Linked DNA regions of Drosophila melanogaster. The protein of the gene in region 3 binds, or shares a complex with, the protein of the main gene of each other region. Each region holds a gene or a part of one and is shown on either strand. Other genes may lie near its edges.

What was found.
Region 1: MED26 (region 3) and MED1 share a complex: the UniProt entries of both Drosophila melanogaster proteins name them as parts of the mediator complex.
Region 2: MED26 (region 3) and MED16 share a complex: the UniProt entries of both Drosophila melanogaster proteins name them as parts of the mediator complex.

What each region holds. Positions count from the first base shown.
Region 1 is NT_037436.4:21,632,303-21,636,057, forward strand, and holds the start of MED1 (mediator complex subunit 1), read right to left. Parts: upstream 2,145-3,755; 5' UTR 1,994-2,144; coding exon 1,960-1,993; intron 1,895-1,959; coding exon 614-1,894; intron 538-613; coding exon 1-537. Other genes in the region: ORMDL (orosomucoid 1-like), read left to right, coding at 3,083-3,259, 3,316-3,467, 3,685-3,755. UniProt on the Drosophila melanogaster protein: Component of the Mediator complex, a coactivator involved in the regulated transcription of nearly all RNA polymerase II-dependent genes.
Region 2 is NT_033778.4:22,181,538-22,185,292, forward strand, and holds the start of MED16 (mediator complex subunit 16), read left to right. Parts: upstream 1-1,600; 5' UTR 1,601-1,673; coding exon 1,674-3,755. Other genes in the region: CG11275 (uncharacterized protein), read left to right, coding at 1-992. UniProt on the Drosophila melanogaster protein: Component of the Mediator complex, a coactivator involved in the regulated transcription of nearly all RNA polymerase II-dependent genes.
Region 3 is NC_004353.4:787,278-791,032, reverse strand, and holds the start of MED26 (mediator complex subunit 26), read left to right. Parts: upstream 1-2,054; 5' UTR 2,055-2,138; intron 2,139-3,418; exon of another isoform or gene 3,419-3,581; intron 3,582-3,755. UniProt on the Drosophila melanogaster protein: Component of the Mediator complex, a coactivator involved in the regulated transcription of nearly all RNA polymerase II-dependent genes.

The DNA.
Region 1 (3,755 bases), on a different chromosome or scaffold from region 3:
CGGTTTCCCGCTTAAGATTGATCAAACCCGCTATGGCCGCTGCTGCCGAAGTAGAAGCGGCAAAAGCATCCGCTAGAGATCGCGACTTCGCATCCATTTTAAGGTTGTTAATGTTGGCGAAGCCACCTCCGGGTAGGCTTCCATCGGAAGGCGTCGGCGTATCCATTGAAAACTGGCTAAAGTTATTGCCTACTCCTGAGACAGGTCCACCACCACTCATGCCTCCACCTCCGATTGCTCCAGAACCAGATCCAGGTCCAATCGCGCCATGCAGTTTGAATTCGTGCTCCTCATCCCAGCACTTAAGCAACTTGTAGATTACCATCGGAATGGATACCACTTTGCGCGCGGTGCGGGTTAACTTCTGGGACAGCAGCTCGTATTCGTTGGTCAGACAGTAAACGCTGCACGTGGGCTGACCATCCTCAAGCAGAAAATCCACAGTGGCCAGCGACTCTTCGTACGGGTGCTGCAGCTCAACCGTGATTTGATTAAATGAAACGGCGGTTACCTCCAGTATCACAGTGCTGTCCATATCTGGGACGAATGAGCATAAAAAAAATATTATTATCATAAAACAGGAATGTGGGGGGAAGTGGAGCACCCAACTCACCATTATACTGCTTCTGCTGCTCACGAACACAGCTTGCGAGCAGGGTGTAGAAGAGAGCTTGTTTCTTGAGGAACGCCACGATTCGCGGAACCTGGGCGGGTTCAGTGAAGGGCAGTGATGACACCAGAGTTCCCTGCAGTTTGCGGTTGTCGGTAAAGAAATAGCAGTGCGTCTCTTTAGGTAAATTCACATACAGGCCGCGCTGTGTGTTCTTAATGGCCTGCTTCGATGCAGTTTGTACTATGAGATTAAGCACTGTGGTGGGCGGACCAGGAGGAGTGGCAACTGAGTCTAGACCGGGCAGACCGAGAGCCTTTAGTGATTCCAGGCAAACAGGCATGGGTTTGTTCAGCCGAAGCACAAACGTGGCCGGCATCAGCAGCGAGTTGTTCTGGTTAAGTTGGGCATAGGTGGGAACCTCCAACCCCGTTTGGGCATCGCGGACCAAAGTCACCGTTGGCAAAGTCTGCAGTTTGTTGGCTGATGAGCCTTCGAGATTGATAGTGGCACTCAGTCCGTAGCTGCTTCGCATTACCTGGTCGATGGTGAAATCGCCGCTGGCCAGTTTGGGATCCCCTTCGGGAAGGTGGAGCGGCGGGCAGAAATAAGTAAGCCTCATAGGATGGCCACCGCGACGGGGCAGCACAAGACCCACCGATGAACTTGTCATAAGTGAGTAGCTGTCTCCGGAGTGACCTTGCAGGTGCAGTTGGTATAGGCTCTGGATATCCGTCTCCATGGCCTGAAGCGCTACAAACGCCTTCTTTTTCACCTTGGGCTCGGCATTCAGCTGGTAAATGGAGGACAGACCCTCGAGTTGAACCGTAAAGTCTGCAAAGTCGCCAGACTTGAGGCAGGCCACTAGCTCGCTGGACTGTTGCTCGATCTTGCACTCGTGGTGCACCTTGACGTCCGACAGACTGCCGGCGGCGTCCAGCAGGATCTCTACGTAGAACATGTCCGTTGATATGAAGAGAAGCTGCTGGTCCTCCATGAACTTGAGGCCCAACTGGCGCGAGAGGCTCTCCAAACGCTCCACAAGGCCGTGGCGTGACGTGACCTTGATGTAGTGCTGCAACTTGTCCAGCGCCGACTGCAGCGTGGCCTTGCACAGGGGGTCCAGAGGGTAGTGCTTCTCGATAAAGTACATACGCACCGACTTCTTGATCTCCTCGTAGCTCTTTGGCTTGTTCCGGTACTTGGCCCGCAGCTTCTCCATCATGGTTTCCTGCTGGATCTGCTTGTTCTTTTCCTCGATGCTGGGAATGTGGCTGCCGAAGCCTGTGCAGATTTGTGTCAGTGGTGCTCCGGACATCTTAGTTATGGGGGTATATATTAGTACTTACCAGTCCCCGAGGACTTTGCATTGGATCCGCTCATATCTATGCGTTCCTAAGTAAACTGTATTTACTTAATGATGCTGTGGCATTTTTGACAAAGAATTGCGGCAAATGAAAAAGTTCTCGATCTAAATAGCTCAGAACCTTTTTTCTATGCCTTCATCATGGCAAAAAAATTTCAACGCCAAAACAACAAAATGGCTGATCCTTCACAGTGGCTGGTCACGCTATAATAAAATACTGGAATATAAAACGGAACTATGATATTTCCACTGCGTCATTTGATATTCGATGTATTCTGATTCAAAGCTTGTATCAATTGCCTGTTCAATTATGTATGTTATATTTTTTAGTATGAGGGGTAAATATAATGAAGCAATTAACATCTATATTCTATACATCCTTCTGGTACTTTTACATTCTATTTTTTATGATGTAATTGTGCCTCATTTCCTACTCGAATTTTCTCTTAAGCTACAAGGGTATTGTAATGAACAGAAAAGCTCAAACATTCTTTCGTTAAAAAATAAATTACAGGCCTCATAATTTAATACCGATGATTTAATATTTATTTAAAATTTCCAATGATTTCTAAATGTCTTATTGGCATAAAGTTTAATTTGGGGTTTCTGTTCCAAGAAACCGAAAATGATTATTTAAAGTTTCTTGAGATTTGAAAGAAACTATAATCCTATAAAAATAAATATCAGCTAAAAAAAACTTTAAGGACTAATCAAATAAGTAAACAAATACAGCTTACGACTTAAACAAATTTTATTTCGCTAAATTCATGATAAGTCTTAAGCGTTCCTCTCTTCCTCGTACTTACCTAAACTACGACAGATATACGGATTATATTGAATATAGGTTTGGTCCGACAAATCAAAAGTAGTCATAACCTTTACTAAAGGTAGATGTTATATTTCATAGAAAATTGCAAAAGCTTAAATTCAAATTTTATTAAACATTTAAAGTATTTCAAATTTCTGTTTTCTCTAAATTATTTTGGTATATTTATTATCATCAAAGTGCAGAGCGATATTTGTATGCATGCGCGGTCACATTGAGCGTAAATGATAAATATTTGTTATTAAAGTGTTTCGGAACCAAAGGTTAACAATTCAGCCACATGACGTCCATTGCGGGAGGCCACGGCGAGGCGAATCCAAACAGCTCCTGGCTGAGTGCCCGGGGATTTTGGCTAGCATACCTCCTGGGCCTGCTGTCGGTGCACCTGCTCTTCTTATCAGTGCCCTTCGTTAGCATTCCATGGGCCTGGACGGCTACCAACCTGCTTCACAATGCAGTGAGTGCTCATGGCGCCGTTGAGGAGTCAGTCCTTATCCTAATCCCTCTTGCCAGGCCCACCTGTACTTTCTGCACGTCATCAAGGGCGCTCCCTGGCTGAGCACGGAGAACGATCCCAGCCGGCGTTGGACGCACTGGGAACAGATCGATGACGGGGTACAGATGACCACAACGCGCAAGTTCCTCACAGCTGTTCCCATTGTTCTGTAAGTGAATACGTACTGAAAGTCGGCCAATATAGGTGGGTTTTTATTTAAAAAAATTAAAACTAAATGAAGACTTAAATTCTAAACTTGTTTTAATGTTGATCAAAGTATTTCAATAAATACTTTTTATGTACTGCAGTTTAATTGAACTAGTAATGTAATTGCTACCATATAATGCCTAACATAGAAACTCATGAAATAATTGATTTTTTTATAGTTTCCTACTTACCTGTCTGTACACCCGAAACAACACGGAACACTTTATCCCAAACTTTATATCCCTGGTGG
Region 2 (3,755 bases), on a different chromosome or scaffold from region 3:
TGGAGTACATCTACACGGGCGTCGTTGACTACAATGGCCTGGAGCTGGTGGCCTGCATTGAGCTGTACTACGCCGCTGAGAAGTATCTGCTGGAGGAGCTGATCGCCGACACGCTGATGGTTATCACCCGCAAGCTGCGATTTGCCAATATCTTGCCCGCTCTAGAGCTAAGTGTTTGCATGGGCCTCGACGGGTTGCTGGAGGTCTGCATGACCTTTTTCATGCGATGCTGTGTTAATAATGGACAGTATATGAGCCACCTTAAGGAGCACTATGTGCACGTGTCCAAGGAGTGTGTGAAGGCCATAATAGCGGCGTGCAAGGAACCGCACAAGTTACTCATCTGGTATGTTTATGAGTGGACACGACAGGAGTGCGAGCAGTTGGGTCTGGGTCCCAGCGATGCCGACTTAGTAGTGCACGACTTGGGTGGCAAAACAAGCGACTGGCCTGCGGCTTCGGGTGCTAGTGATTTGGAATCACCTGCCCTAACTCCGGTGGTTTTGGTGGAGCGCTGCTATTACAAGGCCTGCAGGCCCTTTACAGTGGATGCAGAAACTCCGCTGTTTCGCTTGCGTCTAAAGTGCTCTAGATTTATCTCCTTGATGGGCTTGGTCCTGAACAGCAGGCTGACTCCCAACCTATTGGGTCACGTCCAGCAGCTGGAGTACCGCGAATCGCTGCGGCTGGACCTTTGCGAGGTGCCCGCTGAAAGCGAGGGTCCGGCCACGTCGCCCGTATGGAGTCACGTTGTCCAGAGCCAGAATACCAAGTACAACTGCAACCTGCATCTTGGCTGGCGACGCGAAGAGGCCTGTGTGCTGAATCCGGAGCTGACCTATGAGCTGCAGATCCGCTGGGACAGCAGTGCTTACGGCGCCGAGTATCCGTGCAGCCTGCAGTCCTGCCAGGCGGACGGAATTCGGTTCACTGACGAGGACAGCTTCAGCGGAAGTCTCGTCAAGGGACTGCGCTATGCCAACCTGGTGTAGCCACTTCAGCCGCGATATCATAATTAGTTAGTCCGTAAGACGTGTATGTATTTATTGCCCTAAGTTAATGTACGCTGCCTCAGAGTTCAATAAACTGTGAGTAATATCGCTTCAAACACAAGACGTCTGCTGATAAATATAAAAAGCCGGTTTGCAGCCGTTTTTGTTTGGCGAACGAATCGAACTCGATCGGGGAACGGCGTCCTGGCTGCGAATACGGAAACTTATCTCACCTGTTGTTGCGGCCACTAAAAAAAAAAAATCGGTAAAACAATAAACTATAATATAATCACCAGATGTAAACAAAGCGAAATTGAACGAGGGACAGTGTGGCCAACTGGTCATAATAATTCTTGCTTAAATTGGGGCGACCGTAAAATAATTAACAGTGAGAAACTGGCTATTATTTAATAACTTAATTTTTGTTTAAATGATTAATGATTTAAAGCTGCTGCGCTGTAAAAGCTTTATTTGCTGTTCAGAATTAAAATATTAATGAGCACTATCTTAAATCTAAACATAAAAACCAAACATTTTACAGTAACAATGGAATCAAAAATGCAGTGGAAAAGCGCTAAACACCCGCGAAACAGTGCTGTAAAGTTCTTCACAGAGTAGTGTTGGCAGACGCCGGGTGCAAAACAATAATAGTCCGCTTTGGTTTTTGTTTACGCTGCAAAAATGACGATTTTGTACAAAGTGGAGGGCAAGGAGTTCAGCAAGGACAGCGTTTTTCCGCACAAGAAGGTCCTCTGCTCAGTCTCCGCACGGAACATCGTTGCGTTTAGCGCCCTCCAGAGCGCCATATTTCCGGCTTCCCACGGAGGAGATGCCGGCGATGGATCCTTGCCGGGAGCGGGTTTGGCCGTAGGCGCGAGCAACAGCCATGTGTACGTGTGCGACATCGTGACGCCGTGGGAATACTATAAGGTGTGCTCCTCCAAATCGCTTATCAGCGTCCTCCAGTGGAGTCCCAATGGGGAGCAACTGCTGCTTGGATACGTCGGCGGTCGCGTCGAGATCTGGCAGCCGAGGAACCAGTCAATTAACCTATGGGTGCTGCAGTATTACGCCACCGTGCCCAGCGAGGACATTATAGAAGCACAGTTCTTTCAGAATGGCAAAGGAGTGATCTTCAATGCGCTGAAGAAGGATCACACCTACTATGCGGAGAAGTTCGAGCGGGTGGAGCAGCAGAGGCCCACTCTCAGCGGATTTGGCGGAGTGGCCAGCGAGGGATGCGTGCTACTCACTTCCTCAGGCCTGCTGGCCGCCTTCAGTCTCCCCGCAATCCAAAAGACATCCGCCGCAGGAGCTGATGGTCCTGCCCACGAGGTCGTCGAGTTGACACCCGCGCTCCACAGCATCGGCATATCGCGCAGCTTCATCGAACACTGCAGCATGACGCCAAGTCCATCGGGAGCCCTTAATATCGCTTTCAGCTGTGGCTGGCAGCAACAGTTGGTGCAATGCTTTAAGGTCTCGCTTTCATTGGAGGGCGAACTGGGTCTGGAGCAGCACTTGGCCATCAAATCCGAGTCCCAGACCAGCATATTTCTGGGTCCTCTTGACGGGAGGCGGATCAGTCACCTAAAATGGACGCGAATAGCCAACGAGGATGTGATTTTTATAGCCTACGCTTGTCCAGATGGTGCTGGCAGCCAACTGGAGCAATGGACATTGACACGCCGTCACCAAAGTGTCCACGCCCTTCTCCAGGGTGGAGGAGGTGCCAACAACAAGCCAAATGAGTTCGTGCAATCGGAAAGCTGGGAGCAGGTGGGCAAAGTGCAACTAAATGCATCCTTGGCGGATATCAGCGTTACACGACTATCGGTATCAACGCCGGACTCTTGCCAAGTGTACGCCATTCTGCAGGACAACAGCGTCCAGGTGCTGGAGCCCAACTCGATGAAGCAGCTTAATCACACCCAGTTTGATAGGTTATCTGACGCCAGTGGAGCAGTAAAGTTCGTTAGCGGCGACTTGACACCTAGCAGCCAAATTCTCCTAATCTTTGATAGCCATGCACAACTTTACGCCATGCAGGCACCTCTGCCGAAGCAAGGAGGATCTGGTTTGCTACTTCTGGAATATTGCATCGTTACAGGTTGCGATGCCAGCGATGTGCTACTCCTTAATCTAGGCAACCTGGAGGCTCTGGTGGAGAAGCTAACCGACAACTTTACGCGGCAACCTTCCTTTGTGCGGCACTTTTATTATGCTAATTTTTTGGCCCTCAAGTCCAACATATGCCGCATGCAGCAGCAGGAGTTTGACAATCTCATTATCCTACACGCAATATCCACCACATTCAAGAGCCTCCTGCGACCGTCTGATCTGGGTTTCCAGGATAAAGGACCTGCCGATAACTTGGCCATCAAGCTGGCCGAATCCATTCCGGATGTGGACACCGTGATGCTGAACCTGGACGCCAAGGACTTTACAGTGGAGCCGGTGATGCTGCAAAGTCTACAGCAACTGATTCAGTGGGTCACCGACCTGGCACTCAACATGCTGCATCGTCTGCCCGAGGAGGTAATGAAGACCAAGCTCTCCGGAAAGCGGCCTAGCTACGATATCAGCCGAGACATCGTGGCCATCAGCAGTCTGCGCGAGCTGCTGGTTATGATCCGCATTTGGGGCCTGTTAAACACCCAGTGCCTGCCCGTCTACACCAAGACGATGGACAACATCGATGTGCTAGTGATCTTGTTTCGTTTGCTTACTCGCCTGGCCCAGAATCCTGCAGAACCGGACGAA
Region 3 (3,755 bases):
ATAATAAAAAATATATGTTTTATGACATTCCGCATCTTTTCAAGTCTGTAAGGAATAATTTTCTAAGAGCTAATTTTGAAACCCCTGACGGACTAGTTGACTTTGATGTCATTCGAGAGGTTTACGAATTAGATCATGGATCAGTAACGAGAATGACTAAATTAACAAGGAGTCACGTTAATCCAACCAGATTTGAGCTAATGCGCGTATGTTTGGCAACTCAAACACTTAGCCACACTGTTGCAGCGGCAATTAAGACTTGTAACCAAAACAAGCAATTACATCGAAATAGTTCCGAAGTTGCAGCTTCTACGGCTGCATTTGTCCAAAAAGATAATGATTACTTTGATTGCCTGAATAGCAGAGTATTAACTGACAAAAACCCCATGAAATGCGCGCTCCAAGTTAACAATGGAGTTTGGAACAAACTAAAGGAAATGCAGGAATACCTAAAGAGCGTTAAATATCACGGGAATAAAATATATTGTGTTGATGGCTTGATCCAAACTACTGAAGCTATATTTGGACTCGTCGAAGATCTCTTTAAGGATCACACAGACCACTTTTTCTTTTTAACTAGTAGAGTTAACCAGGATCCCCTTGAAAATATATTTGCGTGCGTTCGAGCAAAAGGTGGTAACTGCAGAAATCCTTCAGTTAACGAATTTAATATAATAATTGCCAAGCTCATATCTCTACACATTTTTAAATTTTCACAAAAGTCGAATTGCGAATCAGATGATGATGTTATGTTGCCAATAGAGTTCGATTCGATAATATATCAGCCTTTCGTTGAAAAAAAAGAAATACAGCAACAAGAATACTCTGTATCATTTTCCAAAATCGTGCAAGACAATGAGAGGTACTTTGACCAAAATATAGATAACTTTTTGTGCAATGATGTACCCATTGAATTAACTTCCAGTAGATATTTTGTTGGATATATTGCTAAGGGATCCAGTTGCGATAAATGCAGATCGGTAATTTTAAAAGAAACCGAGCATTTAACAGCTCCATCAGAGCTTTTTATACATGAGAAAAACTACTCAATAGAATCGGACTTCGGGAAATTAAGGGCACCATCTGATTTATTTTTTAATATTTACAAAATACACATTAAAGCTTTCGAAAATATTTTTAAAAATAATAAAAAACAAATGTGTATAAAAAAATTTATTGTTGAGCAATGCATTAAGTGCACAAATGAAAGTAGTGCCTTCCCATTATGGTTTTATGAAAATAATGAATGTTATGCACATAGAACAGATCTTTTAAACAAACTTATAAAAGTTTTGCTTTTTAAGCATTGTAAGTGGACTGTGATAGCTGATAGACAAAAAAAGCAAGCTAAGCTCAGCATTCTATCTCATGAATAAAAAAAATGAGCGTTATTTAAATAACTGACGACTGAAAAATCGAGCAATATATAATAAAAAACAATAGTTAGAAAAATAACTTAATTGGGGAATATGGAAATGTTTTAATGTTAAACATTAAAATATTTCAAGTCGACTCGAAGGTCATATACGTAAATATAAGACCCCATTACAATTGTAATGGCCTCCCCGTAGTGTTCCCTGGGTACCGACTATTACACATATTACACATAAATAATTATCAACATAAATATAAATATGTAAACGGTAGCTAATTCGAGCGGCGATTTTAACAAACGAATTTAAAAAGCTTTAAAATTAAAAAATTTTAAAATTAAAATTAAAATTTTAAAATTATAATAAGAAGGGCGCGAATTTTTAAAAATTATTTTATTTCATCATATTGCTACGAAATTGGCAAAAAACTACCCTAATATGTACAATGTAAATTCATTTCTTTGATCAGAATTGATTTCGGCCCGAAAATCGTCTTCTAGCACAACACCCACACATATACGCGTTCCCGTCTCTTGTTTTTACTCACACAAGCAAGCAAATTCTATTTTTAGATTTCTTATGTTCTCAGCGTGAGCGAGCGGAAAGAGAGCAATTTTGGCCGTCACCAAAAAAGTGGCTGCATAGTGCCAAACCAATGTATGGCCGTTACGCATCTTGTTATTCTAGTGTCTTTGGTATGGCCGTTACGCATCTTGTTATTTATATGGCTTTGAATAGACCATGTGCAGTGTGATTAATGTGGGGGTATGTATTAAAAACGACATATAATATAAGTATATTTATGTATGTGCAAAAGGAATATATCAGGATATTTCGGTAAGAGCGACAAACCAGCCAAGTGTGAATTTATGAAGTTGATGCATCTATATTTTTGCAAATCTCAAGTTTATATGCAGAAGAGTCACTGTCGTTATATTTGAATTTTGCTCACTAGCGGAGATGATTAAATTTTTTATTATTGTACTGAAATACAAAAATGTTTTTTAAACTTAATTAGCATTTTAAGTAATAATAGTTTTTCTCCGGTATTCTAACGTTACCAGTGTGAACGGATCGGACAAGCATTCTTCCTAATTTAGTACTACTAACCGTTTATATTCCAATTACACTATATATATGGACACAGTCAGTTTTGGTTTTTGTCAAACACGGAAACACAGTATAAGCATGGGGTAGCTCAGTTCTTAGACGGGAAGGTCAATAAAATCTCTTCTGCTCGAGGTTCAGAATAAGAATAATATTATAGAACATATTAAAAAAAAAGCCGCTGTGGTAAAATGTGAATATAAAAAATTAAACATATTCTTTTTCTGTTGCTTATTAAATGTAAAATATATTCTTATATACAAAAGGCTTCCAAAGGTTTTGCAATAAGAAAAAAATATATACTCGATTTTGGTGCTGAAGGATAGTACTATAGTTTACTTTTTTTCAATTGTGAGATGATCCCTTAACCCAAGTTATGGGGTTTGGTAATTGTAAGCCATTTGTTTGTTTTTTGTTTTTGAAGAACACCGAGAGCATTTGTTTTGTACAAATCCTATATATACACACTTTTTTCAAATATTTCGCATTGAAATGAAAGAGTTTAAGAATCTTTATATATCCTTAACAAAAAAAAAACGGCATTGCTAGTCCGAATAAAATAAGTTAAGGGTAAAAAAACAAACAATATTTTAATATTCTCCATATTAAGTAAAGCGGGTAACTGGACGGAGAATCTACGAAATCGTTTTATATTTTACAAAATATATAGGACAACGGGAAAATATCCAAACCACAAAGCAACAAAACCTTCATTTTCTGGTCTGGTATATTTGACCCTTTTTTCATTTTGAGATTCACGCATTTAGCCCAAAAATGGACGTTTACTTTATATAATACTCCTATAGGTTTTCATGTCACATATAATACAATTCCTCTTCAATTCTGTTTGATAGCAGTATGATCAGGCCTTCCTGTTAAAAGAAATTCACGTGAAAGTATATCGATAATAATTGTTAAATACTTATCGATTTTCTGCCACCCTTGAAGTGCAGCTGTCATTGGTAAAAATGGCGAATTGTAATAAAGTCGGGAAGTCAACCATAAATTATTAATTTTCCTTATTTTGGACAAATACAAATTTTCATATTCAAGGAAGTGCGCTCAGGAAGCACAGACTTTACATTCGAAGTGTGCATATTTGTAAGCATAACGATTGAGCAATACACGTTTTGTATTGGTATGAGTGTTTCACAGACACGCTACTAACTCGGGTATTAAAATTTTTGAACTTCTGGGTCTTTAAACTTTACTTAATAGCAATTTTACGGCTATTTATAATAGTATTTATTTTGCAACAACGTGAAGTGAATACAC